4 linked regions of the Alligator mississippiensis genome follow. The protein of the gene in region 4 binds, or shares a complex with, the protein of the main gene of each other region. Links are inferred from orthologs where the notes say so. Each region holds a gene or a part of one and is shown on either strand. Other genes may lie near its edges. The genes, in order: TMEM216, CC2D2A, TMEM237 and TMEM17.

Evidence for each region.
Region 1: TMEM17 (region 4) and TMEM216 share a complex: the UniProt entries of both Homo sapiens proteins name them as parts of the tectonic-like complex. The link is inferred for Alligator mississippiensis from reciprocal best matches to the Homo sapiens genes TMEM17 and TMEM216.
Region 2: TMEM17 (region 4) and CC2D2A share a complex: the UniProt entries of both Homo sapiens proteins name them as parts of the tectonic-like complex. The link is inferred for Alligator mississippiensis from reciprocal best matches to the Homo sapiens genes TMEM17 and CC2D2A.
Region 3: TMEM17 (region 4) and TMEM237 share a complex: the UniProt entries of both Homo sapiens proteins name them as parts of the tectonic-like complex. The link is inferred for Alligator mississippiensis from reciprocal best matches to the Homo sapiens genes TMEM17 and TMEM237.

Annotation. Positions count from the first base shown.
Region 1 is NC_081825.1:177,624,283-177,631,780, reverse strand, and holds the start of TMEM216 (transmembrane protein 216), read right to left. Parts: upstream 3,002-7,498; 5' UTR 2,914-3,001; coding exon 2,901-2,913; intron 2,579-2,900; exon of another isoform or gene 1,931-2,578; intron 1,237-1,930; coding exon 1,135-1,236; intron 724-1,134; coding exon 631-723; intron 257-630; coding exon 55-256; intron 1-54. Other genes in the region: TMEM138 (transmembrane protein 138), read right to left, coding at 3,665-3,777, 4,062-4,137, 6,323-6,494, 6,570-6,700. UniProt on the Homo sapiens protein: Part of the tectonic-like complex which is required for tissue-specific ciliogenesis and may regulate ciliary membrane composition.
Region 2 is NC_081825.1:32,741,257-32,748,114, forward strand, and holds the start of CC2D2A (coiled-coil and C2 domain-containing protein 2A), read left to right. Parts: upstream 1-3,841; 5' UTR 3,842-5,410; coding exon 5,411-5,449; intron 5,450-6,509; exon of another isoform or gene 6,510-6,519; coding exon 6,520-6,594; exon of another isoform or gene 6,595-6,646; intron 6,647-6,784; exon of another isoform or gene 6,785-6,836; coding exon 6,837-6,858. UniProt on the Homo sapiens protein: Component of the tectonic-like complex, a complex localized at the transition zone of primary cilia and acting as a barrier that prevents diffusion of transmembrane proteins between the cilia and plasma membranes.
Region 3 is NC_081827.1:170,806,874-170,814,192, reverse strand, and holds the start of TMEM237 (transmembrane protein 237), read left to right. Parts: upstream 1-4,306; coding exon 4,307-4,325; intron 4,326-7,319. UniProt on the Homo sapiens protein: Component of the transition zone in primary cilia. Required for ciliogenesis.
Region 4 is NC_081824.1:212,938,375-212,946,142, reverse strand, and holds the start of TMEM17 (transmembrane protein 17), read left to right. Parts: upstream 1-4,755; 5' UTR 4,756-4,873; coding exon 4,874-4,982; intron 4,983-7,768. UniProt on the Homo sapiens protein: Transmembrane component of the tectonic-like complex, a complex localized at the transition zone of primary cilia and acting as a barrier that prevents diffusion of transmembrane proteins between the cilia and plasma membranes.

The sequences.
Region 1 (7,498 bases), on a different chromosome or scaffold from region 4:
AGGGTCTTCCTCCCCTACCCATCTCATTTCCCCCTACAGCAGAGGAACAGTTACCTGGAGAAGGAGGCCAGGGTGAGGATGCCCAGGAGCAGCTCCACAGCATAGAAGAGCAGCAGGATGGCATTAAGGATGGCCTCCAGGCGCAGGGCATAGGTCTGCAGCAGCAGGTAGTAGGCTGCCATCACAGCCGCTGGGAAGGTCAGGGCCAGGCTGATGGAGAGTGGCACCTTCCGCTGGCACAGGTTCCCCTTGGAGCCTGTCATGAAATGTGGCTGTGAGCATCTCATGCACAGCCCGTGTCGTTCCCTACAAAGAGGTGGTGCTCAGGATCTGCCTGCCCACGGAGCCCGGGAATCGGGTAAAAGGTTCTTTGCCTCTAGGGCACTGGCCACAGGCCAGGAATGTGGTACGGGGAGATTCCTCCCTATGGTATTGGTTCTTGTTGGATGCCCAGTTGGGTTCTTGTTGGGCGCCCAATTGGCTGAAGTGAGGAGCCCCTTTGCTTTAGGACAGTGACCCTGTGGTGGGGACCAAAAGCCACTTGTTTGACAACTGCTTGTCACCAGCCCAAGCCCACCCCAGGCTCTTACCATGAGGTGGCACCTGGCCCTGTTCTTCCTAAATACTCACCAAAAAATATCCGTGTGACTTCGATGCCAAGGTAGAGGAAGAGCATGACCAGGTCCAGGGCCAGGTTGGCAGATGGGTAAGGTAACAGCAGCCCTGTGGCACAAAGGCCATCCCTTTCAGGAGGAGAGCAAGGCCACACCCCCACCCTTTTTCTCTGGGGTGCCACTGTCCCTTACCCACTGAATAAACTGATAAGCCCTAGGGATGTGCCAGTGGTCAGAGAGGTTACAAAGCCCAGGGAAGACAGGCTGTCTAACAGCTCCTGCCTGAGCCAAACTGCAAAGTTTCTGGCTTTCTCCCACCCCTCCCTGCTCAGGTGCAGTCTTGCAGGGGGCTGGGGCCACTGATGTAGATGGATGGGCTGGAGCGGTGCTAGGGAAGCCTCTAAGTATGCAGGGGTCAGCTCATTCTGTCGCTCTTCCATCAGCCTGTGGGCAGCATCTGATGTCCAATGCAATCAGTGGTGGGCTACAGCACATACAAGCGCCTGGGAAGGTCTCTTACCCTTATAGACAAATATGAAGATCTCCAGGAGGAAGTAGGTCGCGTAATACCAACCATTGAGGAACAGCAGGATTTCCAATGGGGTGGAGGAGAGCTGGCGACCTGGGGGGTGGGTGGAGAAAGCAAGCAGAGCATGAACAGGTAAGGCACCTTAGCAAGGAGGAGGAAAGGGTCATATATATTTTCCCAAGATGCTGCTCCCTCCTTCTTGGCTGAGGAGCTGCATGGCTCTCTGGGGGCATCAAATGCATGGGGCTGAACAAGAGGAAAGGTGGTGAAGGCCCTGGTGTGCAAGGAATCTAGGATGCTCCTCCATCCCCAGCTCCATGGGAACTGGGCAGGTTGCTGAGGGCTGGTGTTAAAAGGCTCCTCAGCATCCTAAAATGCAAGTAGGGACCTAACGAGGTCTTCAAAGGGCCTGGTGCTAACACCCCGGCAGTGGGTGAGGAACAAACCAATGTGACGGGCTCCCTACTCTAGCCCTGTTCATCTGCTGGTCCCAAAGCACTTTGTGAAGGAAGGCAGCTGCCCCCATATTACAGGTAGGGAAACTGAGGCCCATAGAAGTGAAGCAACTTGCCTTCAGATCTATGGCAGAGCTGGGACCAGACTCCCATTCCCGGCCAGAAAGAAGGTGCTGGCCAAGGGGAACTGGGGTGCCTTCCTTGCCCACGCATGCCTCTGAGAAGAACGTCCCTAAGCAGCATCCACAGACTCCCTGGATCCACTCAAGGGGCAGCGGGCAATAACTGGCGTTTCCTGCTCAGTGATCTCTCTCGGCGCCCTCCTTACCAACCTCTGACCTGTGCTCCCGTTCCTGTGCTTTCATCCCTTATCCAAAACACTTAGTCATCCTTCATGTAGTGGCTGCTCTCCACCCACTGAGGGGGCCTGTAGTTCCTGATGAGCCTGGGACCACCATCGCTGTGTAATGATAGGCCTAGCTCTCAACCTCAGCATCCTGGCCGCGAACAAACACACAAGCTCCTGGGGCTGGAAGTTGAAGCCTGCCACCATTAGCCTGGAAATAAGGTGCATGTCTCGAGCAGTGAAGGCAAGTAACCGTTGGAACAGCTTTCCCCCAGCTTCTACCTCCCCAGCTGCTGCTAAACCAAGGCCAAGGGGTTTCTTTGAGACCCGTTCTGGTTCAAAACACTGTTGTGGGGGGGAGGTCCTCTAGCCTCCGCCATTCAAGACATCAGACTGTAACCAAATGATTCCCTCCACACCCCCATCTGCAAAGAAATTGCGTTAGACACATCTGATCCCAAGTTACTCCCTGTTTCCTCTTGCTAAGCTAGGGATAACATAACCCACCGCTCTCGCTGCCCGTTTGGCCTGTCAGCGCTTTGCAGCGAGGGGCTGCTCTGTGCTGAGGCTGGGAGCTGCCCCCCTAACAGACGTTGGCGCCACAAAGGAGGTTCAGCAGCTGGTCCGCCCTCCTCCTTACAACTGCCTGGTGCTGTCGCAGGGTCCTCGCCCGGCCGGGCTCCGGAGCTAGGACCGGACACAAGCCCCTCCCAGGGGCAGCCCGCGCCCCGTTTGCAGCCGCCGCGCCCAGCTCCGACATCACGCCCCGGGTCTTGCTCTGCCTTTCTCCGCTCAAGGGCAGGGCCCCCCCCATCACTGCCCAGCGCCGGGGGCTGCTCCCGGGGGCTTTGGCCACTGGACCTGCGGGGGGGGCCAGTAGGGCGGGCCCAGAAGGGTCACGTGACCCCCGCGGAGGCTGGGGGAGCTCGGCCTGGTCCCGCGCCCCCCGCACTTACTTCTGGGCGCCATCTTCCATCTCCATGGAAACCATGGCACGCAGCGCCGGCGCTTCCGGGAGCGCGGGGGCTGGCGAGCAGCCCGCCGCTCCGCCTCTGGAGGACCCGCTCGGAGTCACGTGACACCCCCCCCCCCCGGGGCGGCCACTGAGACTTCTTTCCCCGGCCGCGGCCAGGCTGGGGGGCCGCAGCCAGAGCAGGGGATTCAGCCTCTGGCCTCCTGCGACAGTAGCCACTGAGAGTATGGCAGGCCAGCACCCTGGAGACTCGCCTGCATGCACACACACAGCACCAGGTTTTGGAAAATGGAGCCTTTTTAATTTTCTGCTCGTTTATAAAACGGGGTACAAAAGGACAGGCTAATGAGGGCAGAGAGGCCCCAGGGCCGTACAGCCAGCCTCGGCCTGCCCAGGACACCAAGTGGAACGGGCGTGGGAGCTGCTGCTAGCAGGTGCCCGGAGCTGAAGGGCGAGTGACAGGCAGGGGGATGAGAAAGGGCAGCTGCGGTGCCAGCAGGGCACAATCACACACATCTGGCCCTTCGCGTCAGTGCATGAGGAGGCAGCAGCTAGGGCCAGAGCAGGGCTGGGAGTGGTCCACACTCTCCGGCGGGGAGAAGGAGCGGAGGGGTGCGAGTGAGGGGCAGATGCAGCATTGAGGTGCTGGCCTCGAGGGTGACTGTCCGCCTCTCTTGGAGGGTGCTGAGCAGCGAGGTGCAGAACTAGTGGGCAGACCATCCCCAAGTCCAGTGCCTGAGAGGATCATCAGGTGCGGATCTGAGCAAACTCTTTGCGCAGCCACATGGAGTCCTGGTAGAAGCGGGGGTCACCCAGGTGCACAGCAGTCCTCTTGTAGAAGTAGTAATACAGCACAGCCGCTGGTGGGAGCGAGAGTGGGTGAGAGCAAGCCCAGCAGGCCAGAGCTACCCCACCCCCACTGCCTAAAGGGGCACACCAGTGTGCTGGGAGGCCTCATGCCCCCAGACAGAACTGGGAGCCTGGCCAAACACTGTGTCTTAACCCCCAATCCCAGGCTGGGGGCACCATAGCCCACCCCACTGACAGCACAGTAGCTGTGCTGTGTGTGCAGGGAGGGCTGTTAATGGCTCCCTGCATGTCTGTCCATCCCTCTGCCCTGCATCAGTCTGCCTCCAGCCCTTACCCAGCCTCTGGAACACGAAGAGTGCCTGCAGCCCATCTGTCCACACGAAGCCATTGGAGTCCTTCCAGCGCAGGTTCTGAAAGAGACACACATACACCAGGAGCAGAGGCCTTGGGTGGGGGGGACATAAGCCCAGTGCCAGACCACAGCACTGCCTACTGGGTCTCTTCTAAAGGGCCACAGCTCCCCCTCCAGGCTTTGTTCAGCCTTCAACTTATGTCACACTAACTGCAGCTCCTCAGTGAAAGGCAGCTGTGTCAGCTTCCCAGAGCCAGTTGGTGCCCCCTAGTGGGCAAGCAGGGTGAAAAATCCCTCCACTGCCCTGATCCCTTTCCCTGCAAGAATAACTGTCTGTCTCTAAGCCCATTCTGATTGTAGACACAGAGCAGAACAGCCAGGGAGCAGCTCTCGAAGCATGCAGAGGTTAATCAGAGATCAGCCTGGAAGCATCTCTCTGGGAATCCTCTTAAATCACCCTGTCCAGGCAGAGCCACAGGCAGCACCCACAATGCAGAAGCCCTCACCTGATCTAGGCAAAAGGCACCTCAGAGCAGTGGGGCTATGGTCTAGGAACAGGGATGCAGGCAGAGGGAAGGGATGAAACAGGATACCTGGGTTCTACCCTCAGTTCTTCTGTTTGCTTACTCTGTGGTTTTGGGTGCATCACACACTCCCCCTGCTGTGCCTTGGGATAGCTTTCCAGCACCTCTTGCCAGGGCAGTAATCCCATGCAACACATCACACCTGCCATCAAGCCACTCTGACAGTGGATTAGCTTTACTTGGAGAATTGGTTACTACAGGGAACCAGAGCCAGCAGCAGCCCAGCATCCAGGGCAGGCTACTCCCTTCTAGTCTGAGGACTCCCAGCCACAACCATTTCACAACTCTTGTCTTTTTAAACATGACTCCCTCACCGTATCCCACTTAGAAAGCACCCACAAGTGATCACTGAAATCAGCAGCTTGGCCCCTGTCAGGAGGGTGCTGTCTAGCACTGGCTTTGGTTCTCCATGGAGCAAGATCATCATGAACAGAAAGTCATGGAGTAGTAATAGTCCCAGCTGTCAGGTTTGCATGACCTGATGCCAAGCTGACAGCCAGGTCTATAACCCTCCAGGCAGGAGGGAAACCCTCTGTTTCTCCACTGGGAGAGCTGCTTCCCTGCCAGCCTTGCTCTGGCACCAATGCCTCTGCTTGCTCTGGCACCGATGCCTTTGCTTGCTCTGGCACTGGCCTCCAAGTGCTGCTGGGAGGAGGTGGGCTAATCCTCACATTTTGAACCAACAAACCCTCTCAGCTCTGTACAATGCCTGAACTGTTGAGTGACTGCCCCCAGCCCCAGCCTCCTTTCTCACTATGACACCAAGAAAGGCCTGGACTTAGACAGCAAAGCCTGCCTGCAGTCACAGCACAGGACCCAGCCTGGGAAGCACCCCCAGCAATCAGTTTGCAGTCCCAACCAGGATTATGCCCTCCAAAGCAGTAGCTGGCCAGACATTCAGTAATGGAGGAATGTCCCACCCTGAACCTGGCAGACAGTATGAGTTTCTGCTTGGCCCTGCATTCAGCCTCCTGGGATGTGGCAGCGCAATGCTGGGAGTAGAGAAGCAAACTTAGCCCCATCCAAGAAAGATTCTGTGCACCTGAGGAGAGCAAGATCCTCCCTGTCACAAGGGAGACAAGAGTGGAGCTCCCCCCAACCCTGCTGCTGCCCTCTGGGAGGACAGGAGGGAAAGGGACTTGCACTCTCTTCCCTAATGCTCCAGAGCTCCTCCCTTGTTTGGAGCAAGGTGTGACAAACATGTTCAGGGAGGTCCTGGGGGCACAGGGGCTCTGATACTGCGTGGCTACATGCAAGTTCATTCTTTTCGTAGCCCCACTGTGTCTCCAGGTGAGTCGGGGACATGGGGTCCTTCCAAGGTGCAAGAGTCCTGACCTCTCAGACTGAAAGGGCAGGGTAGGATCCAAGCACAGCTTCAGCCTGGCAAGACTTCACAGGAGAGGTTCTCTCTAGCGGGTGGCCAAAACGGGCTGGGTACACCACAGGGAGATCCTGGGGCCTACGTCTGAAACTGTAGATATCAGGCACTGTCAGAGGGGGCTACCAGAGGAGGCAGATTCATCCCGCAGGGTGTCAGGTACTGCTGGATGAGCTCAACTGCTCTGGAGGAGGATGAAGTCCCTGACTAGACAGATAAGGGATTCTTATGCCCCTTGGCGAGACGCCCTGATCCCAGAAGCTGGCACGGTCCTGCCCTACCATGACCCAGATGTGGAAGGAGATGCTCAGAGCCAGGTACACTGCCGACAGGATGATGGTCCCTTTGAACTTATGGAACAGCAGGTTGACCAGGCCGGCCTGGAAGACGAAAGTGTTGAAGAACATGAGGAAGATGATGATGACGTTGAAGAGGACGGCAATATCCTGGATGCTGTGGGGGAGAGAGAGGGCGGTGAACTCCCAGGCACCTGTGGGGACCCTGCCATCCCCGGTTGCCGGCACTCACATGAAGAGCACGAGCTGGATGACGGGCGCAGCGCGCAGCAGCTCCGAGAAGGAGTTGACGAAGAGGTCGTAGAAGAGCAGCAGGAACTGCAGGGAGAGCACCATGCTGTAGCTGCTGGTCTGCAGCATCATCTTTCCCCGCGGGCCGTGTTCTCAGTGGCTGCATTCCGGGCTGCGGAGCCACCTCATTCCCGGGGCCCGGGGCCTCCTGCGCCGCCTCGCCCTACGGACGCGCCCCGGAGCCTGGGGGGTGGGGGAGGGGGAGATGTGGGTGTTATTCCTGGCAAGGCCTGGGCCGGGGGGAGGAGGGGGACCCTTGCCTACCCCGTGCCCGTGACACTGTCTCCGCACAGGCACCCCCTCCCAACGGGCCCTCACTCGCCTGACACCGCCATCTTGCATCCCCATGGCGACCGCGCTGCCATCCCGGGAGGCAGGCGGAGGGACCGGAAGTATCCCGTTGCCACTCTGCGGGCACTTCCGGGGAGTGAGACGTGGCGCTCTCGCCTCTCTATGGTGCTGGAGGACCGGGGCATGGCCCCCGCTTGAGGCACGGGCCGCTGTGATACCCCCGGAGCAGGTCCTGGTCCGCGACTGTGGGGTCCCCGTGGTCCGGGCTTTGGACGGGCTAAAGGGACAGCGTTTACTTGCGGGGCAGGCTCAAGCAGGGACCAGCCTGCCTTGAGTCAGGGGGTGGGGGCAGCCGGCTGCACGTGGCGCATCTGGGAGGGGGTGGACACCCGAGCAGCGGGTCATGCGGAAGCAGAAAGCAGAGCAGCCGACTAGGCGGAGGGAAGGGTGCAGAGTAATGGGGGCCTCCTTCCGGTTCTAGCTGGGATCTGGAGGACTTGGATCATAGAGAGGGCAGGCAGGTGGGCGGGAGCGGCTCTGAGCCAGGTGCAGAAGTGCGGCGCGAAGACTCCATGTCCC
Region 2 (6,858 bases), on a different chromosome or scaffold from region 4:
GGCCATACTGAGTAGCCCAGTGTGGGTGCGGCGAGCCCCCAGAGAGGGGGAACGCCATGGTGTTTTATTGAGTAGCCCAGTGTGGGCGCGGCGAGCCCCCAGAGAGGGGGAACGCCCTTGTACGTTATTGAGTAGCCCAGTGTGGGCGCGGTGAGCCCCCAGAGAGGGGGAACACCCTTGTACGTTATTGAGTAGCCCAGTGTGGGCACGGCGAGCCCCAGAGAAGGGGGGAGCGCCATACTGAGCAGCCCTAGAGAGCGAGGCCATACTGAGTAGCCCAGTGGGGGCGCGGCGAGCCCCCAGAGAGGGGGAACGCCATGGTGTTTTATTGAGTAGCCCAGTGTGGGCGCGGCGAGCCCCAGAGAGGGGGAACGCCATTGTGCTTTGTTGAGTAGCCCAGTGTGGGCGCACGGGCATAGCGAGCCCGGCCGCAGGCTAGTGCGGCAATCCCCCTCAGACCAAGGCAGGGCGCTGCGGTTGCCCCTGAGAAGACAGGGAGTAGCAGCGCGGGGAGCCAGAGTCAGGGAGGGTGTCTGTGCGGTTGGCCCATAGGACCGGAGGCCCGCTGGAGAGTCCCGGAGCAGAACCACACTGGCAGGGGAGGCCCAGAGTGGGCCAGACGAGAGTCCCAGCAAGAGGCTGGGCATGAGAGAGGGAGCCCAGGGTGGGCCACAGTAGAGAGACAGACCGGACAACGTCCTTTACATCCGCGAGGCTTGGGGCGTGGTATCAGGGGAGGTAGGAGCCACGCATAGCCCATAAGGCTAGGGCGCTTGGGTAGTGCCCATTATACGGGGAGACCCACGAGGGGTCCAGGAGCTGACAGGCCTGAGGAAACACAAGGCAGCCTCCCTATTACATATATTCCATCAAGACGTGGCGGGCGAGAATGGAGGGTGCCCTCGGGCCGAAGTAGCGCGGTGAGAGGGCCTCAAGGAGATCACGGCCCTCCGCGAGGACCCCGCCGTGACAGGCACCTTCCATCACACCATTCTTAACAGACTGGCCACCGGCAGCATCCTGAGGGATAGTCAGCACGGGTTTGTTGTGGCTTGAATACTGGGTTTGTCACGGGAAGGTCTTGCTTGACCAATCTTATTTCCTTTTACGACCAGGTGACCTATCACCTGGACAAGGGAGAAGAGATTGATGTCATACATCTTGACTTCAAAAAAGCCTTCGTTCTGGTATCCCATCATCACCTCTTAGCGAAACTGGCTAACTGCAGCCTCGGCTTCACCACGATCTGCTGGCTGGGGAACTGGGTCCGTGGTCGGACTCAGAGGGTGCTAGTTGATGGAAGTCAATTGTCATGGTGCCCTGTGACCAGTGGGGTCCGTCAAGGCTCGTCCTTGGGCCAACACTATTCAACATCTTCATTAATGATGTGGACATTGGTATCAGAAGCAGACTGGCCAAGTTCACCAACGACACCAAACTTTAGGGTAAAGCGTCCATACCTGAGGACAGGAGGGTGATCCAGGCTGACCTTGACAGGCTTAGGAAATGGGAGGACAAGAACCTGATGGTGTTTAACACCAAAAAATGCAAGGTTCTCCACCTTGGGAAGAAAAACCTGCAACATACTTATAGGCTTAGCAGTGCTACGCTGGCTAGCACTACAGACAAAAGGGACTTGGGGGTCATGACTGACCACAAGATGAACGTGAGCCTTCAGTGTGATGCTGCAGCTAGTAAAGCGAGCAAAACGCTGGCTTGCATCCATAGATGCTTCTCAAGCAAATCCTAGGATGTCATCCTCCCATTGTACTCAGCCTTGGTGAGGCTGCAGCTGGAGTACTGCGTCCAGTTTTGGGCTCCACAATTGAAAAAGGATGCAGAGAAGCTTGAGAAAGCGCAGAGGAGAGCCACACACATGATCAGAGGTCAGGAAAACAGACCCTATGATGAGAGGGTGAGAGCTATGGGACTCTTCAGCCTGGAAAAGCGCAGGCTCAAGGGTGATCTGGTGACTGCCTATAGTTTATCAGGGGTTCACACCAGGAGCTGAGGGAACATCTGTTCACCAGAGTGCCCCAAGGGATGACAAGATTGAATGGTCACAAACTCCTCCATGACTGTTTCAGGCTGGATATAAGGAAGAACTTCGTTACTGCCCAAGACCCCAAGGTTTGGAATAGACTGCCGCTGGAGGTGGTTCAAGCACCTACTTTGAATGCCTTCAAAAGACATTTGGATGTTTATCTTGCTGGGATCCTATGATCCCTGCTGACTTCCTGCCCCTGGGGCAGGGGGCTGGACTCAATGATCTTCCGAGGTCCCTTCCAGCCCTAATGTCTATGAATATATTAATAATTTTATAAATAAGAATCAATGGCATTTTACCTGATCTGTTATGTCTGCTTCTGAGTCTTGTTTCCCCATAGCCAGAATATTTATTAACAGCTTTATAGTCATGACACTATAAGAAAAACATCCTACTTTTCTACATCATAACTTCTGAGAAACACATTGTTTTACAGTATGCTATGTTTCCATTTTTTTCCAGAGCTTGTTCCAAACAAATACCTCTTAAAATTTTTGCTAAAATTTGCAATAGTGTGAAATGCATACATATCTTCAAAGAGGGTGGGCATGATTATCTGCAGTACTGATATAGATTTTTTCTAAAACTTTGTGGAATCAGAAATGGAAGATGGTATTAAAGAGATTGTGTCAAGTGATGGTTTTAAAGGTCTATCTTTAAATGACTGATGAGAAATAAAGAAGTCTGCATGGTATCTAATATTGTAATATTCTCAAGGAAATCTTTTTACCATCTGTTATGTTTTTGAATGAGGGAAATGTCCCTTTGGATGATAGGACTGAATAGGATTAAGTAGAGATAGTAAACAGAAAAGCATTATTTTGGAATCTGAAGCCAAGGAGGTTTGCTTTTCTATATTCTGCCATGGTTGGATCCAGGATTGTGTAAAGGGGGTGTGGGAGCAACGACTGACATGGAAGGGGGGTCTGTAACTCCACTCCCAGTTCTGCCTCCCTCGCTCCCTCCACCACAAGAATGGGCAAGCCACGCCATGGGAGCAGCAGCTAGGGATTTTTTTTTTTGAGTCCCCAAAACAGGTAAGAATTTTCCCTGCCATTCTTGGCGCTCCCTCCCTTTTCCTTTGTACTCTCCTCCCACTCCTGCCTGCGGCTGTCCATGCTGTTGTGCAATGCAGTGCTGCCAGAGACCGTGTCAGCAGCAGCACTGGGCAGGTTCCCTTTCCCTGAGCTTACTCCTTGGCTAGCGAGGAATACTCAGGGGCCTGGACATGGAGGAGGAACCTGCCCACTGCCACTGCTGCTCCTGGCCAAGCCTGGCTCCATCTGCAACCCAGCTGAAGCAAAACTGGAGCAGCTGTGGAGCACCCCACTCCCCTGGGGCAGCCAGAGACACTAGGGACAGCAGCAGTAGTGGGGGGTGGGGGGAGATGGGATATGCCACTGAGCACAGAGAATCATAGAAAATTAAGATTGGGGGAGAAGGGAAGGAGAGATTCGTACCTGATTTCTGGATTTAAGAAAAGTTGCCTGCTGCTGCTCCTGCAGCGCAGACTGAAAGATGGAACCACTTCACCCCTTGTAGATCCATCCCTGAACTCTATTCCCTCCTTGCCCACTGTCACACCTACTCACTTATTACTGATGAACTCTAGATCCTCAATGCTGTGTAATGTAATGTAATGTAACATAATGTAATATAATTTTAAAATGGTGGTACTTGACTTGGATGGGAATATAGGTGAATATGCACGTTCAGATTTTTCTCACATCTCCACTTAACTTACATTTCAAGAAAATAAAAGGATATATATTATGCATTCTGTCTATGAACTGGGGAATAAAAAAGAGCCCCAGATCTTTACATACATTAGTGTAATACATATTGGCCATTAGTGCACAATTTCATTTTGATCCTGCAAATCCTGCAGATATACATTTGGAGAGTCTTAATGAAGTGAACATAGGCAGACAAGGTTCTTAGGATAAATGTGATATCTTTTATTAGACCAACTAAATAGCTGGAAAAATTGAAGTGAATGCAGTTACTCACATGTGTAAGTAAGTGCTTGACCAGGGTGGCCATGATCCCTTGATCTTTTGTATGCATTATTTACCACTATTTCTTTCCTTTGATTTTTTTTTAAAGGGATGGTCTTTCCCTATGTGTATGTAGCAAACCATAGACACTTTGCTGACTCTTTCTCTTTAAAAACAAATCTCAGTGACCTTCCTTAGCAACCTTGTTGCTAAGATGGGTGTATTTGTTATGGCAGACTGTTGATTGCAACTCCTGAAATGCTGCCTAAGAAAACCCAGGTATGACCCAAATATTTCCTTTTTAAAGCTTTTAAAGTATCTCCACATTCTCCATTTTTATTAGAGACAAGTTTAAGATGCAGAAATCCTCAAAACAACTTTTATAACAACTTTTATAAAGATTCTCAAGGTAATTTATTTTTAAAAGTGAAGTTAGTAAACTGCAGAAATGTCTATTTTCAGTTGTAAGTCATCTGGAGACAGGCAACTCCCTGTGATACTGAATAATTTTAAATCTCTTGTATTCTAGTGTAAAGCATGGAATTCAATTATTTATTATATTTTTAAAATGTTTCTTATGGCACTTAGTTTCCAGAAATATTAGAAAAGCATTAAAATGATTCAAAGGCCTTGTCCTTTTCATGTACATACAAGACTATTCTAATGTTTTAAAAGTGAAATCTGCTAAGTATTAAAATGCTATAATTTACTGAAGTATAATATTTATATTGCCCTGGGATATTAGTGCTGCAAACAGGCAGATGTTTCAGTTTTACGCAATGACATTATACTTAGCCATTCTGTGCAGTACTGGAGTGGGAATGAACTTGTGAGCTGGTATGATTGCACTGATCTGGGCTGCCTAACTAGCATGGGGCATAGCTGATACTGCTGTAGGAATACAAGCCATACTTTGGGCTAGTTTGGCCCCCAACACTAGTTAGGAAAGCCTTTGAATTTACTACCTAAATCTCGTTTGGTGTTTTTAGCAGCGGAGTGACATTTTCTGGTCACATTTTCTTAACCCTAATACATTTGTAACCTGCTCCTATGCAGGAAGCAGGGATGACAGTACAGACTGTCAGTGGCATCACTCCTATTAAGAATTATCACACATTATGCCTTAGTTTGAAGATTATGCGAATTACAAAAACAGGAAAAAATCCAGTTTTCAAAACTGCAAAACTGCTTTGAAGTGTTAAATAATTATATTTTAAGACATCATAAGTCTAAAGGTTATATATATATGGTGCAGAGGTATGCCTCATGTGGAGTGTGTTGGATCAGTGTGTAAGTATTTAATCTGTATATTGGCCCGCCAGTAATTTCTGTTATTTGTGACAGCCAAGTACCATGTATCACAAACATGAATCTCAGTGAAGAATCTCAGATGATGGTTATGGAGGTTAGTTTAATAATTATGACACATATTGTTTTAACGAAATTTCTTTCACCAAAAATTATGATACGGTTTTGTTCATCCACCACCTTTGTCAATTACATGAAGAGTAATATATGTATTTCTGGACCGCTTTGCGACTTGCAATGCTTATTTAGTCATTTGTCAGATTTGTTCTGCATTTTGGGGCCCTGTCACCACACGGGTTGCTTCATGGTAAATCTGCCACTGTCCCCACTTTCCCTCTACTGCCAAATTCCCCGAGTCCTCCTGCAGCAGGTGGAAACTGGGCCATACCCCCTCTTCCACATGGCCACATCACGGCTGGGCTCACTCACTTCTGTGTGAGGCCAGATCACTCCCCTTTCCCCCTGCCCGGCTGGGCCTTTCCCCCTCCCCCTGTGGAGCTGGATTGGGGTCAGGTCAATCCTCCTTTGCCAGGCGAGCTAAGCCCCTGGATCAGGGCTGGGCTGCCCATCACCCTCTTGTGCGACTGACAGGGGCTCCGGCGCACCCTCCTTGGGCAGTGGATCAGGACCACCAGCTGGATGTGGCCCATAACAGGCCCGTGCATGGCCCATGAGGCCTGGCAGGCAAGAGGGCAGGGCAGCACTGGTGCATAATCTGGAGCAGGCGGGTATTAAACAGGGGGCGCAGCGAGGTCTCCATCCTGCACGTCCCGACAGGCACGCAGGTTGCCACCTCTGCATCTATCCTGGGAGGTTTCAGCACGCGACAGAACAACATTAATGCCCAATTAATCTATTGCGCTGCACGCCTGTACATTACTGTTACATTTAAAAAACCCACTGGACTACTGTCTAAATGGGAGCCGGCATTTCGTATTTATTTGGACGAATGCCCCGTCGTTTATCTCCCCGGTGACTCTCAGCAGTCTCCTGGAGACTCTGCCCGGCGCCAGCAGCCCCCCAGGGCAGGTGCCAGCTGCGAGGGAGCGGTTTCCCAGGCCCCCGGCCCAGCCGGGCTCAGGGCAGGACGGCCCCGCAGGCCTAAACGTGTTTCTTTCCCGTGTGATCTGTTTCATGCACCGACGTGCCTCCCCGCGGACGCGGCAGGAGCGCGGAGCTGAGGCGGAGGCGGAGGCGGGCGGGCTGCAGGCGGCGCTGGAGGCCCGGAGGCGGAAGAACCCGGTGAGCGGGCAGGCAGGACGGACCGGAGCCGCAGCAACGCCAGATCAGCCCAGTACGCATGCGCGGAACGCCGCACGGGCTGCACGGGGGGATTGACTGCTGCGCACGCGCGCCGGGACTCTAGGGGCGGGGCTCTGGGGGGGGTGTCGCACAACATCCGGGTCCTGCGGAGGGGGCGGGGCTTGAGTTTGACTGGGGCCGCGCGCTGCTGACGCTCCCCCTCCCGTTGCTTGTGCTTGCAGCTGACGGAGCCGGCGCGTCTCG
Region 3 (7,319 bases), on a different chromosome or scaffold from region 4:
TAATCTAACCCTCCAACATATTTACTATTACCCCCAGCTTGATGTCTTCTGCAAACTTGCTGTGGGTGAACTCTATGCCATCTTCCAGGTCATTGATGAAGATATTAAACAAAACTGGCCTCAGGATCGACCCCTGGGGCACTCTGCTTGATACTGGCTGGTAACATTGAGCCATTGACTGCTACCCTCTGTCCCTCATGATATGGCCAGTTTTCTATCCAACCTGTACTTCCTTTCATCCAGCCCGTACTTCTTTCGCTTGCCTGTGAGAATATTGTGGGAGACCATATCAAAAGCCTTGCTAAAATCAAGGTATACCACATCCACTTGTCTCCCTGCATCCACAGAGCCAGCCATCTCATCATAGAAAGCAGTCAGATTGGTTAGGCATGACTTGCCCTTGGTGAATCCATGCTGACTTTTCCTAATCACCTTCTTCTCCAAGTGCTTAGAAATTAATTCCTTGAGGATCTGCTCCATGATTTTTCCAGGGACTGGGGTGAAGCCGACTGGTCTGTAGTTCCCTGGATCCTTCTTTTCCTCTTAAAGATGGGCACTATATTTTCCCTTTTCTAACCATCTGGGATCTCTCCCGATCCCCATGAGTTTTCAAAGATGATGGCCAGTGGCTCTGTAATCACTAACTCCCTTGGCACCCTCAGGTGCATTCCATCTGGTCCCATGTACTTGTACACATCCAGCTTTACTAAGTAGTTCATAACTTGTTCTTTCACCACTAAGGGATGCTCACCTCCTCCTCAGACTATGCTGCCAGGTGCAGTAATCTGGGAATTGACCTTGCCTGGGAAGACTGAGGTGAAAAAGACATTGAGCACTTCAGCCTTTTCTGCATCTTCTGTCACAAGGTTGTCTCCCCCATTCAGTAAGCGACCCACACTTTCCCTGATCCTCCACTTGCTAATGACATACTTGTAGAAACCCTTCTTGTTACCCTTCGTGTCCCTTGCTAGCTGCATCTCCAGTTGTGCTTTGGCCTTCCTGACTTCATCCCTGCATGCTCAAGCAATACTTTTATACTCTTCCCTAGTTGTTTGTCTGAGTTTCCACTTACAAGTTTCCTTTTTGTGATTTAGTTTACTGAAGAGTTCCCAGCTAAGCCAAGCTGGTCTTCTGTCATACTTGCTAGGTTTCCTGCACATCGGGATGGTTTGTTCCTGCACTATCATTAAGATTTCTTTAAAGTACAACCAGCTCTCCTGTACTCCTCTCCCCCTTCAACTGGCTTCCCAGGGGATCGTGCTCATGAGTTCCCTGAGCAACTCAAAGTTTGCTTTTCTGAAGTGCAGGGTCCTTAGTCTGCTGCTATCCATCCTTCCTTTCCTCAAGATCCTGAACTCAGTCATCTCGTGGTTGCTGCTGCCCTAGTTGCCGTCCATTACTACATTTCCCCACCAATTCTTTCCTGTTTGTGAGCAGCAGATCAAAAGGAGCACAGCCCTTAGTTGGCCACTCCAGCATTTGCACCATTTAAAAAACTTCCTGGATTGCCTGTGCATTGCTGTATTGTCCTCCCAGCAGATGTCAGGGTGATTGAAGTCTCCCATATATAACAGTATGGAATATTTTATAACCTGAATACATTAGAACCGTTTCTGTTTGCGAATGAGATTTTGTTTTGTTGTTTGATCTCCTGAGGAATATCTGACAAATGCATATGCTGCAGTCTAGTAGATAACAGTATATATTGTGCAGAGTTGGCAAATGAAGTTGTTTTGAAATTTTTCAGATTTTAGTTTTTAAAAACCTAATAATGATTATATGTGCATAAAAAGCTATGACTGATTGTGGGGTTATACTCTGCCAACATTTTTGCTAAGCTTCCTGTTGGAATTGTCCAACAAGAAGAGTAAGTAGCAGCTGGCTTCATGGATCTTGATGGGAGGGTGTTTGTATCCACTGCCATATAAATTGTATTTGCTTTCAGTCTACCTTCTAACATAGATAAAATCTAGGATAGGGACATGAGGTCAAATCCATCTTCACACTAGTCTCACTTGCTTCAGTTAAATTAGCATAGCTAAAGTTTACTCATGTAAATAAAGGAGTGGTTCTCAATATTTTTAGACTCAAGGACCCCCTGGAGAGACTAGAGGCATGCCTTGGAGAATGTCAGCTCTTAGTTTTTACTCTTTGCCTACAGAAAACTAGTGTGTGTATGTGTGTGTGGGGGGGGAAGGTTCTGTTGCAAAGAAATCAAAAAGATCATAGCTATGGATTTCTGTTTGAAATCTCTGGGTTTATGTTGTGAGTCAAGTTTGAAAACCTAACAATGCCTAACATTGTGTGGCACCCCACAGCCTCCTTGAAAGGATCTTGAGATTGCCACAGCCCCTGCTTTGAATCACTGGTAAAGAATCAGGGTGTCAAGGTCTTGCATTTTTAGTTGTACGCAGTAATAACAGCCCCATTGCTGCTCCTAGTGGAAGCTGATGGCAGAACTCTTATTGACTTCAGTGTGAGTAGTATCGGGTCCTAAATTGGGGACAGCGAGGTTCACATACAGTTAATCTTGTCTGGGAAGCTTATTTTTAGTGCTGAATTAGCTGACGATCAATGTAAGCAGTGTCAGAGGGAATAGTTTAGTGTCTCTCTCAGGGACCAGCTTTAAATGACATGGGAAAGAAGCAAGTGGTAAGTTCAGTTTGGAGGAACTTTGCCTTGTTTCATTTTTGTGGGGCTTTTATTTAAATTTAAGTTTTTATCTGGAGCGTGGAGTAGTTTTCCCTTTTGTCTAGTACACTAAGACAATAAATAATCTGAATCTAAGCTGTTTTACTCTTCTAGGTAAGAGAATTATCAAGTGTGTGGGCTATACACCTGCTATTCTGTCAACAAGAAATATTTTTCTTTGAGTGTTAATTCTGTTTTCCCTTATGGTCATGATCTTCACCACTGTGAAAATATTCTGTTTTATTGAACATTTTATAATATTAAACAGTCTAGTCGGCATTTTAACAACAGTCAGGACTATCTCACTGCCCTTGTTTGTACTTCTAAATGTAAGATTTCATTGGTGATTCCTATAATTGTTCTTGATATAATATAAAAATATATTGATATTAAATGCCTACTTTCAGCAGTGTTCTTCTATTGTGTTCAGTACCTGACTAGAATGATAAATTGTCTTTCCTATGCATGTAGTTTTCTTATAAAAAGGTGAAGGTATTTAAAGAGTACTGTTACCACTTAGATGGTTATAGTTTATCTAAAATATAGCACGTATCAGAACTGAGGCATTGACGCAAAATATGTACCAGACACTGCTTTACAATTCTACATCTTAACTTCCATCCAGTGATCTCAAAACATATTTGTGAATTGTTTATACATACAGTGTTCAGAATTGCCTTTCGGAAGACTATCGATGTAGCCTATGTTAGAGACATCTAACATAATATCATTCCAAGGTCATACTTGGAATTAGCTGTTTTCTCTGAAATAATTTAGTAGGGGCTCAAAAGGTAAAAGATTTCATGACACACTAATGGAAGGTTTTTGTCTTTTCTGTTTCAGCGTCCACCCCGTGCCCTTCCTCCTGTGCCAAGGTAGGTTTATTTTATTCTATGTATTTTGGTAGTTTGGGAACACTGGAATGTACTTGAAAATTATGAAATTAAGAAAGATGAGTGCAGTAAACACATAAGGCACTCATAATGCTGTTAAATGATTTAGCAAAATCTCACTAAGGTGACAAATATTGCTCTCTCTTTGTTTTAATTTTTTACTGAATAAAATTTTAACGTAATTTAAGAGTAGATCTATCATTTTTTAAAACTAAAATTAAGGCTTTTTCCTTTTATAAATCTAATTATATTATATTTTCACACTTCACCAAAGAAATTTGCTATAGACTACATTGTTATACAAGATTTTACCTTAGCAGCAAATAATTGTAACTACTTTTTTAAAAAGTACCTTTAAAAATGGGCAAGTGGTAGGACAGTGTAAGGGCCTTGTTGTATGTTACACTGTGAGCTGCTCAAATGTTGATTGGTGTTACTGCTAGCTTGAATTTGGGGCAGTCGCACATTCAGGCGAACAGGGGCCTGGAGGACTGAGAAGTAAGAATCCTCCCCTCCCAATTTGGGGTTCCCACCTCCCAACCCCTCCTCTTACTTGTGGCTGCTGTCTATCCCAGGGGAGCAGACAGGGAAGGGTTAACCCACCTACCTACCTGCCTGCCCCCCTCTCCTCCCCTTTGCTGCTCTTCTCAGGGCTGAGCCTAGCCCAGGGAGCAAGGACTGGCAGGCAGATTAACCTTTCCTTGCCTGCTTGCCCAGGACAGATGGTGTGGGCAGCCACAAGTAAGTGGGGGGAGCAGTCAGTGGGGATCTGAGGTGCTGGTGAGCACATAGCAGGGGCAGCATGCCTGATTCAGGCCAGCAGGGGAACTGGAGATTGGATGGGGTGTAACACTAATGTGTAGCCTAGAGTTGCTGTATGCATGTATAACACAAGTTAGGTGACACAGATCAGAGAAATATAGCCTGGAGTGGCATAACAAAGCCATCTAAAGCAGTGTTTCTCAACTCGTGGGTCGCAACCTAAAAGCAGGTAGCAAGAATATATAAAAGGGTCATGAACAAACTTTAAAAATGGATTCTTCTTTAAAGGAGAAAAACATGGGAAACCATGACTTTTCCCTTGCAGGCTGGCAGAGTTCCAGTCTGCAAGGGGCTACTTGGTGCCCCCCACATGCTCACCCCCTGCTCCTCATGCTGTGGGTTGGGGCCTGGGGGCATGGAGCAGCGGGTTGGGAGCATGGGGCACCAGGGCGGGCCTGGCCATCCATGTTTACAAATGAGTCCTGGTCCAAAAAAGGTTGAGAACCACTGATCTAAAGAGTGCTTAAAACTAATTCCAGGTGTTAATGTGTTCAGGGGTTAAAAGCTCCAGGAGCTGCCTAAAATTAACGTATAACAAGGCCTTAACTTTGACTATCTAGAAGTTTAGGGGTATGGGTCCCTGCTACTCTTGTAAGACTTTTCATTTTTTAAAGAGACTGGGAAGCAGTTTAATTTGTTATATTACCTCATCATTTTGTGTTATTTGTTGGGGGAAAAACAGGTAAAAAGAAAAAAAGTCATAGACAAAAAGGCTACTTCAGTCTCACTAACTTATTTTCAGCCCCTTATCTTCCTCTTCCAAATGTCTCCTCTTGTCTATATTTTAGATTTTGAGAGCTTTGAGTAGAAACTTTTTTATCAGACTGGTGTCCAACATATCTTGAATATGGGAATAAGAATTTTCTGAATATGCCATATTGACACAGGAGTTGAAAAGATTTTATCCTTAAATTTCTATGTTCCATACATCAAGATAGGTTTTGATGGTAGGAATGGGAATTGGGCATTTTTATGGTCCGTTATGTCAAAATTCTTAAAAGTACTTGGAGGCGCATATACATTAGGGGTGTGCAAAGTGGGCCCCATTTGATTCAGGTTCAGATTTGGCCCAAATCAGGGACAGTGATTCGATTAGTTGATTCAGATCACTGTCCTTGATTTGATTCAGCCAAATCTGAATCTGAAGTTTCGATGCTGATTCAGGGAATCAGTGATTCGGACATAGACATAACTTTAAAAGTTTTTTCTACATACGTCGAGGTACCAGGCGTGACTTGTGATCGCTGCGATGCTGGGGTGCATGGAGCGTCCTACAGGAGTGTGGGGCGGGGGCGCTCCACGTGCTAGGCAGCGAACCCGGAAATGGACCGGAAGTACTTCTGGTTCATTTACAGGTCTGCTGGGGAGTGCTCTGGGGGGCCCCCCCACACCTTTCCCAGCTTGGCGATCGGCAATCAGCCATGGGGGGACCTTGGGTGCCCCCCCAGACCCAGGAGGCACTAGTTGCTGAGCTTATGGGGTGCAGGGGAGGGGGGGAGGCGCCTCCTGCGTGCTCCCCAGCGGACCTGGAAGTGGACCGGAAGTGCTTCTGATCCACTACCAGGACTGCTGCTAAGTACGCGAGCTGCCTGCTACCTAGAGATATGTAGAAAAAACATTTAAAGCTGTGTATATGTCCAAATCTCCGAATCTTTCTGAATCGATTTGGAGGGCTCCAATTTGAGTTGGAGAGATTAAAGGGTCCTCTGATTCGATTTGGAGATTTGGCCACTGAATCAAGCCAAATCTCTGCCAAATCAAATCAGGGACCAAAGCTTCACACAGCTGTAACATTGTACTCGTAAACATCACAGAGGAAACTGTGAATACTGATCATGAAATAGCTGCTTGCCTGACTAATTTATAGCTTCTTTCCTTGGTTCATGCATAGCAGACAGTCAGACAAGTTCTAATTAAATAGTCTAACAAAAGCTTTTAATTGTATCTACAGCTAACCAATCAAGAAACTGTACCTAGTCACATGAGGCAGACAAAATGTTCAGTCTTCGGTCTTGTTAAGCAGCCTTAATGTTGTCATATTTAAATGGTTGTAAAAAGTAAGGTTAAGGGATGTGAATAGACCATATACATTTTTATGCTTTAAGTCGGTTGCATTTTGAGTTTTAGTACAGTTCTGAATTGCAACTGATTTAACACTAATGTTCTTGTCCTTTAATATTGTTTTTTTCATGTTTCTTTCCAATATAATGGGAAAAAAACCTTGGAACTGAAGTGGAAACCATGGTGAGTTGGTTCATTGTTGACAAAACTCTGTCCATACAGAGTCCTTTTAGGTTTCTGTTTATTTTTCTTGGTTCTGTTTTTAATGTTAAATGTGTGAACTTCTAAAGTTTTGCCTAACAGCAGGTTGCTAACTATTATAAATTATTAAAGCTGCTTGCAAACACCCCCCCCCAGTACTATAATTTAAACTTGGTGCACTCCTGTGCCAAGCTCTGCATATGCCCAGAAGAGGCAGCGTGTTAGTTGGACCCGGCTCACTCAACATCTGTACAGATCAGGTGCTTTAGTGAGCTTTTTTAAATGTCTCCAAGCTGCCTAAGTGCTTTATGTGTTTGTGGACCAGATTCTTCAAAAGTATTAATTGCTTTTGATTGCCCAACATGAAACACTGGGGAAAATCCTCCTTTTCAGATGGAGAATGATTTAATTTGGAAAAGAAAAAAAATCAGCTATGCATTGCACAGGCTATACCTTACCATTGTCAATTCTGGTTGCCCTTTTCTGGATTGTATAATTCTCTGTTGTCTGTTTTGAGATGAGGTATCTAAACTTGGACTTTATGATCTAAATGAGTTTTATTATTCTTTAGAGCATCATTATAATATTTTCTTTCTTTTTAATGTACTATGGCAGGCCTAGCCTGGCTGGGAGGTCATAACCCCCAGCTGG
Region 4 (7,768 bases):
CTTCCCTGCCCCCAGGCAGCCTTGTACCGGCCCTAGGGTAACTACCCATCCCTAACTGGGTGGGACAGTCCTGCAATGAGAACCTCAAGTCCCAGTTCCCGGCCTCATGACTACAGGACAGCATTTGTCCTGGATTCGCAGCACCTGCAGGGATCGGGAAATAGCCGGTTTCCCTTTGCAGGCTGGCAGCGGGGTGCTAAGTTCATGTGTACGCCTGCACAAATGCACATGGCTGGGAGATACAGCCAGGCAGCATGGAGAGCAGCTCCCTGCAGGTAAGTCAATGGTGGGGGGGGTACAGATCAATGCCCCCATGGGTGAGGGAGCGAGCAGGGCAGGGGCTGGGCATGATGCCCAGCCAAGGTGGTGCATGGGGTCAGGACAAGGAGCAGGACAGAACCGTGGGAGGTTCCTCCAGGGAGCGGGGGTAATGTGGAGCACATGCCCCACCAGCTTTGTGCACGGGGCAGAGGCAGATGTGGGCTGCCTACTATGGTCTCAGGGGTCCCCACCCTGCTGCAGGGGGGCTTGTGCTGGCCGTGCCACCATGGTAAGGTGCCCCCTGCCCACCTGGCAGCAGCAAGGGCAGGGGCGGTAATAGCATGGAGTTGTGCCCCCTGCTGCTGCTGGGTGGGAAGGGGTCAAGCAGCCAGCATCGGGCTCCCAGGGGAAAGGCAGCAGAGCAGGATGCCCCGAGCCCACAGCAGGCAACCTGCATCCGCTCTGCTCCTTTCGGCTTTCAGCTAGCCATGGTGGTGGCAGCAGCAGGACAGAGGAGAGGTGGACATGTGTCCTGTCTTCCCCTTTTGAAAAGGTGATCACTCTAGCCAGGCGCCTGCCCGCCCCCCTCCATTGCTCCCAGCAAAAAGGTCTGCTGGGTGCGGGCGAGTAGGTGCACACAGAGCAGCAGTTTGCAACCTGGCTCATCCCTTTCACTCCTCCCATGTTCTCAGGGTCAAGTGGACCTGCAAGGGTGGTCACTGGCATGCAAGACCCTATAGGGGCAGCCTAGGGACAGCCTCACCAGGATGGCCTGCCCTTGCCCTGAGGTACAGGCCAGAGGTTGGGAGGGGGCAGACAGTGGGAAGAGCAGGGCTCAGCCAGGTGAACATCTGCCCCCACTGCTTAAGTGGCACAAGCTAAATTAATGATTCTCAACTTTTTTAGCTACAAGCTCCCCCCACACACACACTCTCTTTCGGAGTTCAGATCTCTCAGTGATTTTCAACTGGGGTGCCATGAAATACAGAAAAGTTACAGAGGTACCTAGAGGCTAAAAAAATTGAGAAGCACTGGTATAGAAATGTATCTTTGCTTAAAGAAAGATATATTTGGTGTCATTTGTTAACAGTACATTTAACACTGGTATAATTTCTTCCTGAATTCTTTGTTTTGAATAAGAGATATATAAATATATGTACATGCACGCACCCATTTGGTGTGCCACCAATTTTAATCCATTAAAAAAGGCATCCCAAGTATCAAAAATTGAAGAAACACTAGTCTACATGTGGTATGAACTGTACCTTTGATAACAGGATAGACCTACCTTTCTTAGAATAAAGTTGTATTATTTGTCTTTCATCTTAAAGCTTTAAGGTTAATTGGCTTACCTTTCTTCTCATTCCCAGGACTTGTACTGAATCTTAGAGCTTTCAGCATTCTACAGAATTAGACCCTTGCTGCATTTCCTCATCTGTAAAATAGGGATAACAACACTTGACCAACCTTATAAGCTGTACTACATTTGCCAGCATCATCATTTTGGCAAATCCATCTACTCAATATAAGTATTTACTCCTGAGCTGGGAACCTAACCTCTCCAGAAACTACTGGACCCTCTAGTTTCCCTAAACCTGCCTGTGGCTCTCCAAAAATCCTTCCTCCCTTACATGCCTTCTGAAGAATTCAAGCAGTAAGATCCCTGCCTCCACGGGAAGCCCTTTGAGGCAAATCTGGTGTCGATCCAGCTGCTTTCACCAGCTCAAAATCAAACAAACTTTTCAAAAGTGATGTTTATGGTTTTTCTGTGTGGTTGACCTAGTGGGATAGGGGGAATTAAACTTAAAATGGATTAAAACATTCTTCTCAGTCACAGATAATTAATCTGTGAAATTCGCTACCAGCCAATATTACCAAGGGAAATAGCTTGGTAAGATTTTTTGTTGTTGTTGTAGGAGGGGGAGGGGTGCAGAAAGGAAATGGATTTGACATTTATATGACTACATTCTATAGTTACATTAGCTAGGCTAAAATTACAAGTGTTATCACTATTCATGCTGAAGGCTGTAAACTGATCTTCAGCTGTGGTCTAAGGGGGAAACCAATTACATAGTTTCATAGTTTCATAGTTTGTAGGGTCAGAAGGGACCTGAGCAGATCATCAAGTCCGACCCCCTGCCATGGCAGGAAAGAGTACTGGGGTCAAACGACCCCGTCAAGGTGTTCATCCAGCCTCCTCTTAAAGACCCCCAGGGCAGGAGCCAGCACTACTTTGCTTGGAAGTTGGTTCCAGATCCTAGCCACCCTGACTGTGAAGTAGCGCCTCCTGAAGTCTAGCCTGAATCTACCCTCTGCCAACTTGTGACCGTTATTTCTAGTCACTCCTGGTAGTGCTCAGAGGAACAGGGACTCCCCCAATGCCTGCTGGTCTCCCCTGACTAGTTTATAACAGGCCACTAGATCCCCCCCTCAGCCTTCTCTTGTGGAGGCTGTACAGGTTCAGGTCCCGTAGCCTCCTCATAGGGCCTGCCCTGCTGCCCCCTGATCATGCGGGTGGCCCTCCTCTGGACCCTCAATGCTGGCCACATCCCTCCTGAAGTGCAGCGCCCAGACCTGGACGCAGTACTCCAACTGTGGCCTGACCAATGTCGCATAGAGGGGGAGGATCACCTCGTTGGACCTGCTTGAGATGCATCTGTGGATGCATGACAAGGTGTGGTTGGCCTTCCTGACCGCGTCCCCACACTGTCGGCCCATGTTCATTTTGGCATCAATAATGATTCCAAGATCCTTTTCTGCCTCTGCACTGACAAGAAGGGAGTTCCCCAGCCTGTAGGTATGCTGCTGGTTCTTCCTCCCCAGGTGCAGTACCTTGCACTTGTCAGTGTTGAAACCCATCCTGTTCTCTTCTGCCCACCCCTGTAACCTGTCTAGGTCCAATTGCAGCCTATTCCTCCCTTCTAGTGTGCCCACATACTCATTTCTTCCATACTCAATTAGTTGTACTGAAGGACTTCACCCTGGTTCTCTGAAAACATCAGACCCTATAACATTTTAATAAGCCTTAGCAAACTGATCCGTTCCTCCTGGGGCTCCATGCGTGGTTAGTAAGGTGACCAAATTTTTAAAATAAAAGTAAGAGAGACTTTTTGGCAATTTTTAGGGCCAGGAAATACTCAGATAGAAGAAAAAAGGACACTCAAAAATAATATGGGATGGTATCATCAGACTCTAACTTGCCCCAACACAGGCGAGTGTCTCAACCGAGGGAATATTTTCTAATGCAGTCATTCACAGCACGATGTTATTCATGAAACAAGTGTCAATTTCCCTCTGAGCAAAAGAAAAGCTGGGAAAGCGTGGACACTGATTGACCCAGCTTCTTTCTCTCCTTCTTCCATTGGACTCTTCCTAATGGGCAAAGGACAAACTGTGCTCAGTGCAGCCATGCCTCCTGAACATGTATTTTGTAGTTTTTAAGTTCAGCACACTGGGGGAACAGGAACAGGACACTGAGAACAGACCTGCAATTTCCGTGGCCCTTGGGGCAGGATACACCCTGCCGCAACCCAGGAGAAGCTGGTCCCTGAGAGCCCCAGGCTCTGTGCTTGCAGGCCTGTCAGTCTTGTACCTTTGTGCTGCACTCAACAGGGCTCCTGCCTGGTTCAGGGATCATTTTAAAAGGATGGGCCTGACCCTAGACTCAAGGGGGAAGGCCCCTAGCACTAGTGTGAAGCACCGGTAATGAGAAAAGCTGCTGCACTGCCTTAAGCCACCATTGTCAGGTCTTAAATAGTAAATGATCATACTGGAAGCTCAAAATTATCTCATTTGCTGTAAAAATATCCTACACTGGGAAATACGCAAATAAGTCTTCTTCTTATTGACTTTACATTGCTCAGTATAACCCACCAGTGAGTGAGAACTGGGTTGTCAGTTTTGAAGCCCCTCTTCATTTTGAGGGAAGAAATCATAAGAAAGTGCTAACAGCAAACACAGAAGTCACTGAAGACTCCCTGAGAGTGATTTGGGTTTTGCATATGTAGCATCAATGAGCTGCCTCAAAAAATCATGCAAAAACTCAAAAATCATCCAAAATCATGTGTGCAAAAATTAAGTTTATTTCCTACCTATGGGGACTTTTTACCATCTTGTATCATCTACATTTTTCCCAGAGCCTAACGAAGGGACTTTGCTCTGAAAGCTTGCAGAAAAGGACAATTTTCTTCCCATTTTCCAGTTGGTCTAATAAAAGGTATCATTTTGGAACCAAGAGTTCTAGTCGTTTGTATGTCCTACATTTTGAACACTTTTACTATTATTGATTGTACCTCGTACAAGGCTTGAAATTATCGTGCAACTATGATAACCCGGCAACACAGCCCTAAGTGGAGGCCAGACGGGAGCCCCAGGGCCCCATCCCAAATCGGGACTCAACCCGCCTGCAGCCCCATCCCCCGGGAGAGCCAGCAGAGCTGTCGTGGCTCCAAAACTAGGTAGAACAACCGCGCATGCGCGGGCCGTCCAGCCCCTCAGGGGGAGCAGAGGCGCTAACTGGGCCACGCAATGGGGGCGGGGCGCCCGTTCTGACTCGCTTTCATGGTTCCCATAGCAACCGGGACGTTGGCGGCCTAGAGGCTCCCGGTCAGACATGGCGCTGCCGGAGCCAGTCCGGAGACGGCTCAGCAACTTCAGCCGGACTGTATTCAGCGACAGCAACCGCACCGGCCCGGAGTACCCCGACGGCGGCTGTAGCCCGGGTAAGGCCTGGCTCCCGTGCCAGCGGCAAAGATGGCGGCGGTGGCGGCACCCTCGCGGGTCGCTGCCAGGAACCAAGATGGCGGCCCAGGTGCCTCCTCTACTTCGCTCGCACATTGAACCAACGGCGCAGCCCCTCCTACACTCATTCACTCACTCGCAGGTGGAAGGGAGCCTCCCTCCCAACCTGCGAGCGAGCAGTCCCCGCGGCTGCTCAATGCCTGGGACTACAGCGGCGCCACCACATAAGGGGGCGGGGCGCTGAAGGCGGGGCAGGAACGGGCTAGCCCGTCAGAAGGGCACCGCCTCCTCCCGCTAGGCACGGTGAGCGCGTGCGCAGTGGTACCGGCTGAGCTGCACTGCCTTTGTCTGTCCTCGGGTCCTGCCAACGGGCGGGGCAGGCTTTTTTCTGCTTAATGAGTTAGATATCCAGGTTGTAGCAACATGAGGCAAAAGGAATCAGAACTCGTGGTAGAGGTGACATCTGTTGTTAGACCAACTAGATTTTTGCAAAAAAGAAAAAAAGTCTTTAATTGCAATTAAAGATAGCTTGCAAGTGAGGGATACTTTGACCCTAGCTGACTTCCTACCAGTGGGGCAGGGGGCTGGACTCGATCAGCACTAATGTCAATGAAATCTATGAAGCCTTTTTTTCCCCCCAAAAAAATCTAGTTGGTTTAATAAAAGATATCACCCCTACCACAAATTCTGAATTGGACAGAGGTACACATGGTTGGGTGTGTGTAAGTATTTACACACATGCAAACAGGCATACACACAGGTGTATATTCACACCCCTAACTTTCCTGAACTCAAGCTCTCTTCATCAGTGGCAGTGAAAGGTCTAGGCCAGCGGTTCCCAATCTGTAGTACACGTACCACCAGTGCTACACAGACACCGTGGCAGTGGTACACATTAACAGATTTATTATTATTATATATGACAAAAATTTGCTGGTGATACTTAAGGTCAAACTGAAAAATTTGCTGGTGGTTCTTAAGGTTGTATTGTTTTAAATTGGTGGTGCGCAATTTGTCAGAGTTTGGGAACCGCTGGTCTAGGCTCCTCTTCGCAGCATCTGCTAAAGTGGGGTGGACTTCAAGAAAGCTTGTTCTCTCTCTGTATAGATATACACACACATATAGAATCATAGTTACTTAGTCTGTAAGGTACATACCTACCCTGCCTTACGCCTGTCTTTTTAATTTTTTTTTAATACCAAAACAGCCTGGCTCCAGGGCTTCCAGGACTGTAGAAAAAGCACCAGAGGTAATTGAACTAGTAGTATAGGCTCAGGTCCTTCAGTAAACAGCACCGTTCCATTTCTGAACCCCCTGTACCTCTGCTGTTCCTGCAATTTGGGGGTTTTCAGGTGCTAAAATAACACAGGGAGTCACAGGCATTGGATTTACCCATTTCAGTGCTTAAATTCTCTCAGTCCCCTCTTTATAATAGCAAGCATCATACTTTATAAAGCCTGGTTCGATACCTTCCGCTTCTCCACCACCTTTAGTATCAAATAGGATTTTTTTTTTACATAAAAAATTACAAATGAAGAAATACTTTGCTGTTTGTAATACAAGGAATAAGATAGACAAATACACCCAGTATCTTACTCCGGTGCGTCCTATTGCACCCTACAGTAAGCAGCAATTAAATTAGTTCAAGAGTGGGGGAAAGAAGTTGACATTTTTGGCTACTTTTGTCAACTATTTACCTGAAACTCAATCTTAAATCCTAATCCAAGTATTAGGAATTTGGCCTAATATTGAAATATTAGGACAGGTATTTCAGAAATGTACCCATTGGAATAATACTTGGAACAACCCAGTGTAGCATAGCATCACAAGATGGTCACACAGAAAATTAAAAATCTTGGCCTCTGTCATTAATCAAAACCATTACCATTATCCATAAGTAACTTGCAACAGTTTAAAATGCCTCCTTGTAATTAGATGTTACTTATCCATTGAAGGGTAGGCTGCTGATATCAACTGATACGTTGTTCCAGTTCTGAACGGCTCTCCAGAAGCAGTTCCTTTTCTAATATCTGGAAATGAACTGTCCTGCATTCATCAGGACAGGCTGCAACTAAGAAAGCATGTTATAGCTAAGTAATGAACATTTTTTGGAGGTCTGTAGGTCATCTCCCATTCCTCCTAGTTGGAATAGTTTTTATACATAAAAATGTTGGACTATTAAACATGTCAGTCATCTTGTACCTTCTGTTTTTAGTGTAGACAGTCCCGCCTCTTTACACTATTACCTTAAAGCCTTGTCCCAGTTCCTTTACTATATTCTCCTGCCCCTCCACCTAGCTAATTAATTATCATGAATACTTCAGCATCTGATAAAAAGATTTCTGGGATATGTCTGAGAATTGAAGGTACCATGACTGCATGAGGCTGAACTGGAAACAATGATGATGCTTTCCGAGGTAGAGCAAGGACAGGTAGGAGACTGGAAGTCAAAGAGAAACTAGCCAATATTTGAAGATGGGTTCAATGATATAGTGTTGTTACATATCAGGTCACAAGTCTTAAAGAAAAAAAAAGATACAGAACTTTTGGGTTGCACATGCAGAAACAAGAGATGTTTAACAGGAAATGGAAATGAGATCATAAGAAGAATTTGGCACCTGCCCACAAATGGTAGCAAGTGCCAGTTCTTCTGAACTGCTCTTTGGGACATAAGAGAAACAGATCATTAGTAATTCATTCAGGTATTTATTGATATCATACTAAATATGAGGTAATGCGAATAAGCTTGTCTAATTAAAGGCAAAAC